Linked DNA regions of Mus musculus. The protein of the gene in region 1 interacts with the protein of each later gene in a biochemical or structural test. Links are inferred from orthologs where the notes say so. Each region holds a gene or a part of one and is shown on either strand. Other genes may lie near its edges. The genes, in order: Grwd1 and Rpl11.

Region 1 (4,585 bases):
CAAAGCCCTCTCCCATGTGGCCAGCAAAGGAGAAGATGGGTTTTATTCGGGCCTGCTCATCTCGGAGGAAGATGGCCAGGGCCTGGGGGTCATCCACCACCTGCAGGAGCCGCCGCAGTGCGAACACCTCCACTTGGCCCTTCTCTGACCATACTCCAGCCACAGGTTCCTCCCCCAGCCAAGATACCTGCCAGAGGGGTACACAAAACAAAGAGGGGAGAGGCCTAAGGTTAGACAATAGACCCCCAAAACTATAACCTTGGCATGTCTACAGACAAATATAGTCCCCAGACAGCTTTGTAGGAGGAAACTACATGCTCCCAGACCAGCTGATGGCCAGGTCACCTCCTGGCTCTGGGAACAGAAACAGCAAAAGGATGAAGCTCAAGCTCCCAGTGGAGTTCTAGAAAACACTGCGGGTTCTACCGCTCTCACGTCCTTCCCCCTCTACAGTCACTCCAAGATCCTTAAACTGCCCTATTACCATAGACAACACATTCCTCTGACCATCTCCACGGTGGCTAGTTTTATGTCAACTTGACATAAACTAGAGTAATCTGAGAGAAGAGCTTCAATAGAGAAAAAGCCTCAGAGACATAGGGCTGCAGGCAGTAGGACGCTTTGTTAATTAGGAGGGCCCAGTCCATTGTGGGTGGTGCCAGCCTTGGGCAGGCGGTCCCAGATTCTATAAGAAAACAGCTTAGTTGGGCAGTGGTGGAACACAACTTTGGGAGGCAGAGGCAGGCAAATCTTTGCGTTCGAGGCCAGCCTGGTCTACAGAGCTAGGTCCAGGACAGCCAGAACATACAAAGAAACCCTGTCAAACAAAACAATATGAAAAAGACTGAAACAAGCAAGCTGAGTAAGCCATGACAAGCAGGCCAGTAAGCAGCACCCCTTCATGGCCTCTGCATCAGTCCCTGCCACCACATTCTTGCTGTTTCAGTTCCTGTCCTGACTTCCTTTGGTGATGAACAGTGATGTGGAGGTGTAAGCCAAACAAAGCCTTTCCTATCTAAGTTACTTTTGGTCACCGCATCTTATCACAGCGTTAGTAACCCTAACTAAGACATTCACCTTCAGTCTAAAACATTGAGACCCATGTTTGGCTGTCTCCTTCCTCACACCCATCTACGCTGCGCCTCTCAAAACTTTTCTAACCACCTGTACTGTGGCCACCCTTCCCGTGAGTTGTTCCTTATGTAATCAAACACTTTTGGCTCTCTGCAGTCAATTTTCCACACAGAAGCCAGCGGGAGCCTCTGAAAACAAGTACCAGACCAATCACTCCTCTACTTTACGTCCTCCACTTATTCCTAATTTCTCCTGAAGCAGAAACCAAGACTTACATTAGCCCACAAGGGCAAAGCAACCAGTCTTCCAGGCGCTCACCCTGCACATCTGTCACTGTCCCCGCTTAGTCTATTCTGCTCCACACACAGTCGCCTCTCCAGTTTCCCCTGAGATTCTGAATCATGTGTGCCAGGTGCACCCCAGGGTCTTGGCACTTTCGTTTTTCTTCTCTGCAAATCTGTTTCCACAAACACCCCAGCCCTGACACTTGCTGCAGGTCTCTAGTCCAAGAACACCGACTTACCCAGTCCTCCTCAAATTCACCATTTACAAAAAACAACTCTACCCTAGGAACACCCTTATACTACCACACTCAGCATCTTGTAACAAACTACAAGCTTTCTCTTGTTCCCTTTCCCACTAGTATGTTATGTTCATGGGCCCAGAGCTTTCTGTCTACAGGCTAAACCTTCTGGGAATAATGTAACAGATACAGGTCCAACAGAGACAGGTCCAGCTACGGGTTGGCTTTTGCTCTACATGCTCCTTGTATACCGTCTCCCTTTTTTGCTCATCTACCTGATCATAAAGTGCTCTATTTATTGAACTTGAGGTGAGCGCTCTACCACTAAGCTGCCTTTGAACTCATTCTATCCTGCCTCAGTTCCTAAGCAACAGCTCAGTAACACCCTTGCGTTTCACCACAATCAGGAGCTGTTTCAGCCTTTATTATCTGTTTATCAGCTCATAGAGTGAAAATGTCTGAAAATGAGGGGGGAGGGAGAGAAGCTGAGGGGCTGGAGGAGGTACTGAGAGACATTTGGATCTAGGGGGAGGGGTGTGCTGCAGAGAATCCTTAACAAGCCCCTGGAAAGACTGTACCCGAACTCGGTTGATGCCACCGTAGTGAGGAACCATGGCCAGTTCCAGCTGAGGTTTCTGCTCCTCCTCATCCTCTTCATCTTCATCTTCCTCATCGTCATCACTGCCCTCTGAGGGTGACGGCCTGGTGCCATGGAGATTGTGCATCCGAAGCATCATCAGTCTGGGGAAGCAAATACGGGTTAGAAACTGAGTGCCGGGATGTTGAAGGAGGAGGGAGGCTGGGGTCCCAGACTTTTAGGTCTGGCATTAGCAGAGAGCCCTAATGCGTGGGGCCTTGTGGATGTCTTGCAAAGGTCCTGGGTCTCACCTATTGCTCTGGGCGCTCTCCGCCTGGGTTCCCGCACACAGGTAAAGACTGAGAGGGAGCTCTGTCCGGTTGTCGCCCAAGTGATCTCGAACTATGTCAAAGCTGAGACAAGGGGCGCCTAGGGATGGGCGGGGAGATTAGAGTTGCTGAGTAGGAACGAGAGACTGGGAACTCGGCCTCCACCTCCTCCAAAGGCCGGCAGTCTGCAGGGTCACAATCCTCAGACTCCAGACCCTTCGTCCCCCAGACCCCAAGACAGGCCTTTCATTTCCCTGGACCCGAGAGTCAGGTCCCTCTGCCTACCAGTTTGCGCACGATGGTACAGCACGTAGGCCTCTTCATCCATTACCAGCTCCTCTCCCTCGCTCAGTGGCGGCCCTCTGCCGGGCAGGTAGACCTGGGATGGGCCTTCGGTTCCTGGGTCGCAGGTTTCAGCCTCCATGGGTTCTCCGGTTTCACACGTGCGACTCCGGCCCTTGCGCGCCGCCATCTTCGAACCTTCTTGCCCCGGACGCGAAGTGAGAGCGTCACTTCCGGGTTTCACCTCCCACAGTCTAAGACCCGTCCCACTGTACTGTTACCTTGGAAACCTGTGAACCAGCCAGAAGAAGGTAATGCGCAGAGAGATGGCCGCCACAAAGTAACCGCGTCCTGGCTCAGTGAGAAGACTTATATTAGGAGCAATTTTGTCTTTCGTGTGACCTTGGGGAATTCTTCCGCGCAGCAATGGCAAGACCTTCTGGGAGTTGTAGTTCTACAGAAGTCCTCGGCTTCAGAGCCCTCTCCATCTTCCACCTTTCATTCCCAGGGTTGTCTTTCCATTTAGTTAATTATTCATGTATGTAAACGAGCACTTACTGGCAAGGAGACTGGGCTTCTGTTCCCCGAGGACCTTTAAGGCCGATTTCTTCTCCTCTCCTTGTTATGATGGTTTTAAATTATTTCAAAATGCTTTAGGGTAGACAGGCTGGACATTATGTATAAGTTAGTGGATTGGATCTATCCTCCAGGGGCAGACCATTTCCCAACCAGGCATTCCCAGGGCAGCTCTGGTCAGCAGGCACTTAATCAGAAAGTCTCTCTTGAGGCTGCTGCTACAACTGAGTCAGCTCTCTTTATCTACCCATGTACACCCGAGTTTTGGTTAATTGGAGTAATGAAATATTGGAAACAGATCCTCACTGGTGAGATTAAGGAGATTCAAGGCGTGGGTTGGCCACTCTCCATTTGCATAAAATAACCCATCAAATCATTCTTGCCAGTAGCAAGGAGTAGGTCTCTAGATTTGGTCCTAATTTGTGCATCCCTTTTTGTATCTCTACTCTTGGGGGTGTTGTCTCTGCCCTGTCACCTCTCCACCCCTCTCCCCTGGACTCTTGCCGCTTCCTGGGGTTGACTGTGCTTTCCCCAATCTCCTGTTTTCTAGGACTGGGGACTGAACTCAGGGTGTTATGAATATTACAACACCCTGCCTCCGCTACACCACCAGCCCAGTTTCTGTTGTCTGACTGTCCTCCCTAAGGACTCAGTTCTCAGTTTCCATTTTTCTCCAGAGAAGTTGAAGGGACAGACACAGAACTCAGGCTTGGACTGAGGAGGCGTAAAAACATGGTTTTATTCCAAACACTGCAGTGTAGGAGCGGGAGAGGGGAGGAAAGGTCAGGTGTGGGCTCCCAGACCCTCCTCTCAGCCCAGCCTCAGACCCTGCTGAAATCTGGGAAAGGAGACCTGGGGGTGGAGTGTCTGCTGGATTATCACTGAAGGGTCACAAATAAGGGCTGGACTTGAAGATGTGATTGGTGGCATCTGGGGTGGTAGGTGAGTGGGGGGAGACAGGTAAAGGTAGGACTTTCGTGGAGGAGAGGTCATAGGTCAGAGCCAACAAGGATCTAAAAGGGAGGGGTCATTGAGGTCTGACATGAAGGGTCACAGTCTGGTCGGGGCACAGTCTGGGGTCAGATGATCATTTTAGGTGTTGGAAGTCACAGTCTGGGGTCAGGGGTTTCTGTGTGGCGGGGCCAAGGTCTGGAGTCACAGTTTGGCATACGCGTCTCACAGTTTTGAGTCCTGATGAATGAAAGGTTAAAAACAGGCTCCCCT
Region 2 (4,497 bases), on another chromosome or scaffold:
ATCAAGACTAGTACCTCAGCTGGACAGAACTGTCATTAGCTACCCAGACAACACACCAGGCAGTACACACACATGCCCCGCAGGCTTCCTCCTCAACTGGTCTCTATCCTTGTAACTCCAGTCCCAATTCCAGTATGTGATTCCCTTGTCCTCTCTCTTCTGGCCTCCACAGGCACCAGGCACACACATGGTGCAGATATACATGCAGGGAGTTCAAGGCCAGCTTAGGCTGTAAATCAAAGACCCTGCCTCAAAACAAAAACTTACATGTGCAATGTGGAAAAATTTAAGTCGCCAAAAGCAGCATACCCCCCCAAAGCGCTTTCCACTATGATAACGGCCATTCCCACATGACAATCCCCATTTGAGCAGTCTGCACCCCCCACATTTCCATGACTTCCTCACAGAACTCCTGTGCCCCAGGCTAAGGAGATGAGTGGAGACAGGGAAGCAAATTCGAAGGGCAAATGCAGCCCAGGATGACCCAGAGAGCTTTGCAACGGCAGGGAATAAACCCCGGAACCTCTACACTTGCTACAAGGCCCTTTTCTGAGGGGGACACACAGGCAGACAAGACACGAGACTTCAACCCAGCTCCCCATCCCAACAGCAGGACAGCATGTGTGGACGTCGACAGAGGAGCCACCTCTCCCCACAGGCAGCTTGGGACTGAGAAGTCCACATACCACATAGAAGTCCAGGCCGTAGATCCCAATGCTTGGGTCGTATTTGATGCCCAGGTCAATGTGTTCTTGAATTCCAAAACCAAAGTTTCCAGTATCCGAGAAGTTATTTTTCCGCAACTCATACTCCCGCACCTGAATGGACACAGAAGTGACCATGCTATCCATCATGTTCAAGTAGCCCAACATGAGCTCAGATCAACACCCAGTAGGCCCAGAGCAAAACCAAAACTCTGTGAGTCCTAGCTAGGAGCACAGGTATCCCTCCCCTAACCAAGTCATGCCCCAGCTACAAATGCCATCAAACGATCCCCACTTCCAAAGAGCAGAGAAAATCCCAAGGACAGAAATCCAGGAACAGTCATCTCTGAAACGCCAAGGCACTGTATGTGTGTATATATAGCCCATCTCTGACAATGCAGCAGCCTCCACCCCACCAGCCTCACCTTCAGGCCTTTCTCCAGAATTTCCTCTGCCTTGGCTCCGCGGACTGTGCAGTGAACAGCAATCTTCTCATTTCTCCGGATGCCAAAGGACCTGACAGTGTATCTAGCTGCAGGACGGGGACACAAGAGGCAGGTAATGTCTTATTTCCATTGCACGGCATCTAGCGTGTCAGTCAACATCGTCCACAACACAGAAAACAGAGCTTTCCATCTCTAATTTACCCAGCCATACTAAGAACCTCAAACAGCATGGCCATAGTAACAGACACAGGTTAGCAAGACTGTTACATTCCTTGAGAGAGAAAAATCTCAAATGTAGCCCAGGCTGGCCTTGAACTGGCAGCAATCCTCCTGCTTCAGCCTGGGTAATGGGGTTACAGTTGTGGGCTATCAGGCCCAACCAATGATTATGCTCTAATTGGGAGACTAAAACTGACAAAAGCCAGTGTTTTCAAAATGCTGACTGTGGTCCTAAGAAACAGTATCCAAACCCAATCACAGACCACCCACAACCACACTAGCAACAGACTCCATGTTTCTAGCAAGGTAACTCCTGTCATGTGGCCAAACAAGGGAATCACAATTCATTTTAAGTGAGTTGAGGCAGAGCCAGAAGTTAAGAAGCACTGGTGGGGGGGTGTTGGAAAGATGGCTCAGAGGTTTAACAGGTTCTGAGGACCTACACGGTTGTTCACAACCAACAGAAACGGGATCTGATTCCCTCTTCTGTCATGTGGGCATGCATGCAAACAGAGTACCCATGCACACACACACAAATACAAATAAAAGCATGGATAGGACCTCATGCCAACAGTGTACGGTATTAACCCTGTTCTTAGCTGTCAACCAGGCCCACGACAGCTCACGTTATAAGTCCATTTGCACCCGTGCTCCGGTCAGATGAAGCAAGCTTTCCAGATCCACTCCTCTCTGGTCAGCCCACCGCCACTCACCTTTGGAGAACACCGGGGTCTGGCCTGTGAGCTGCTCCAACACCTTGGCTGCCCGGGTCAGTCTGTCTCCGCTCTCCCCGACGCAGATATTGAGGCAGAGCTTGCGGATGCGCAGTTCCCGCATGGGGTTCTCCTTTTCCCCTTGATCTTGCTGCGAAGAGGGACACAGCCATCAACACCCTCCCGCCCCGTCAGAGACGAGAAACAGCCAAGGTCTTCTCCGCTCTGACTTCTATCGTCCCGGATCCCGCCTAAGCCCTCGGGACCACCAAGGTCTCCGCGTTTGGAAGAGAACGAACACAGAGAGAGAGCCTGAATCCCAAGCGGATCCACGAGTAGGGAACAGACACTAGAGATCGTAGAAAGTATACAATGTAACCCTAATCAAAACTACAGGAAGTACCGGCCTCTGCGCCATGCCGTCCCCCTTCCCAAGCTAGCACGGGTCCTGCGAGTAGGACTCGCAGAAACTCCCCAGCACCACACAAGCTGCAAGTGTCCCCTTGGCCCCGCCGTGGACCTCCGCACGTCGCGCTCGCACTTCCGGCAGCCCCCAGACACTGCGTCTGGGCCCTCGGGGCTGCAGACCTGAGCCCCATTCTTAGGATGGGCGGCGATGCGGCGGGGGTGCCCCACGGCCGCCCAGTCCCGCCGGGCTTAATGCCAACAGCCTCGCGGGCTCCGTCCTCCTCCGGCCACCCGCGAGACAGCCGCCCTGGGCTCCGCCGACTGCGGATGGAGACGGATGAAAGCGAGGCAAAGCCAACTCTCGCCTACTCACCGCCATGGTGGAGAACAGGAAGAGAGAGGGAGACTTCCGGCCCCGTGGCCTTATGGGTCAGGAGGCGGGCTTTTCTTCTAGGCAGACAAACGAGGGGAGAGGGGGAAAGAGAGGCATAGCTGTCGTGGCGCTGCCACCTCTAGTGGACTGTCCTCGAAACTGCAGTCATCTTGGGCAAAAGACTAGGTCGTGGGTTGTCCGATGCTGGTATGTTCTTGAGTCCATGACTCCAAGAACAGTCTCAGAACCTGGTGGTTCTTGAGTGATGTCACTGCCCAAAGTCCATTAAATCAGTTGAGCAAAGGGCTAGAGAGAAGGCTTTACAGTTAAGAACAAAATTCCCGGCATGAACACGGTATTTCAAAACTGGTTGTGCCTCCAGTTCCAGGGAGACAGATCCCTCTTCTGGCATCTACAGGCATCAGGCCATGTGTGCATACAGGCAAAACACCCATATAAATAAAATAATTTTTATAAATAAATAAGCTGAGACGCCAGGCAGTGGTGGCGCACGCCTTCAATCCCAGCACTTGGGAGGCAGAGGCAGGTGGATTTCTGAATTCTGGTCTACAGAGTGAGTTCCAGGACAGCCAAGGTTAGACTGAGAAACCCTGTCTCGAAAAACAAAAACAAAAACAAAAACAAAAAAATCAGCTGAGGCTGGAGAGACAGCGCAGTAGTTAAGAGCACTTGACAGCTCTTCCCAAGGTCCTGAGTTCAATTATCAACAACCACATGGTAGCTCACAGACATCTGTAATGGGATCTGATGCCCTCTTCTGGTATGCAGGTGTACATGCAGATAGAGTACTCATACATAAAATAAGTGCGAAGATAAAAAGAAACCATACAGATTCTAGACCCTTTACTTTGTAACTATGTTAACAAGTATACAAATCAGAGTAGTGGCTTAAATCAGCTGTTCCAGTCTGATGCCCTTGTCTTCCTTCTGAGGACCCCAGGCACACACTTACAAGGACATATGTGCAGGAAAAACTTAAATACAGATAAACTAATAAATAAAAAGTAAATTTTGAAAATAAGAGTCCTGAGCTGTGAATACAGGCAGGTGTGGGTTTGATCCAACTAGCTAGTTACTAATTAAAATTACTTCTGTCTGTTTTCCCCTTGTGTAAAACAGCTACTTCTGTGTCATGGGTTACTGTGTAATTCAGTGAAGTATGTAAGTTGTTACTTTTATAATTAAGTCAAGCCTACAACATCCAAGCAACACCCACCTTCCAAAAGAAGTATTAGACATGGTAGCTAAAAAGAAAAAGGACATCAGAGGTGAGAGAGAGAGAGAGAGAGAGAGAGAGAGAGAGAGAGAGATCTGACAATGGCTTACAGATGCTTCTGAGAAGAGATCATCAGTTACAGACTATAGGACACGCCCCCTTCCAGGGTTACATTGAATCCTCAGAAGCTGAACTCAAGGATGAGGACCACCAAGATCCACATCCCAGGCAGATGCTGGCCTTCCTTGAGTCAGTCAGTTTCTCTAACATGAATGCATGGGCAAAGAAGAACACAGACGCCTTCGGTAGAAAAAGGGCCTGCCCTCTCCTTCCTGCTGCCCCCAGTACCCTTCTCTAACCCACACAGGGAGGCCAGAAGCCCCCCAGCATTTCCAAC

What was found.
Region 2: the proteins of Grwd1 (region 1) and Rpl11 form a complex in vitro, tested with the Homo sapiens proteins (2 studies listed by BioGRID). The link is inferred for Mus musculus from reciprocal best matches to the Homo sapiens genes GRWD1 and RPL11.

Annotation. Positions count from the first base shown.
Region 1 is NC_000073.6:45,827,807-45,832,391, forward strand, and holds the start of Grwd1 (glutamate-rich WD repeat-containing protein 1), read right to left. Parts: upstream 2,984-4,585; 5' UTR 2,976-2,983; coding exon 2,789-2,975; intron 2,604-2,788; coding exon 2,486-2,603; intron 2,339-2,485; coding exon 2,176-2,338; intron 188-2,175; coding exon 1-187. UniProt on the Homo sapiens protein: Histone binding-protein that regulates chromatin dynamics and minichromosome maintenance (MCM) loading at replication origins, possibly by promoting chromatin openness.
Region 2 is NC_000070.6:136,050,485-136,054,981, forward strand, and holds the start of Rpl11 (60S ribosomal protein L11), read right to left. Parts: upstream 2,910-4,497; 5' UTR 2,870-2,909; coding exon 2,864-2,869; exon of another isoform or gene 2,501-2,863; coding exon of another isoform or gene 2,486-2,500; intron 2,234-2,485; coding exon 2,083-2,233; intron 1,237-2,082; coding exon 1,130-1,236; intron 819-1,129; coding exon 687-818; intron 1-686.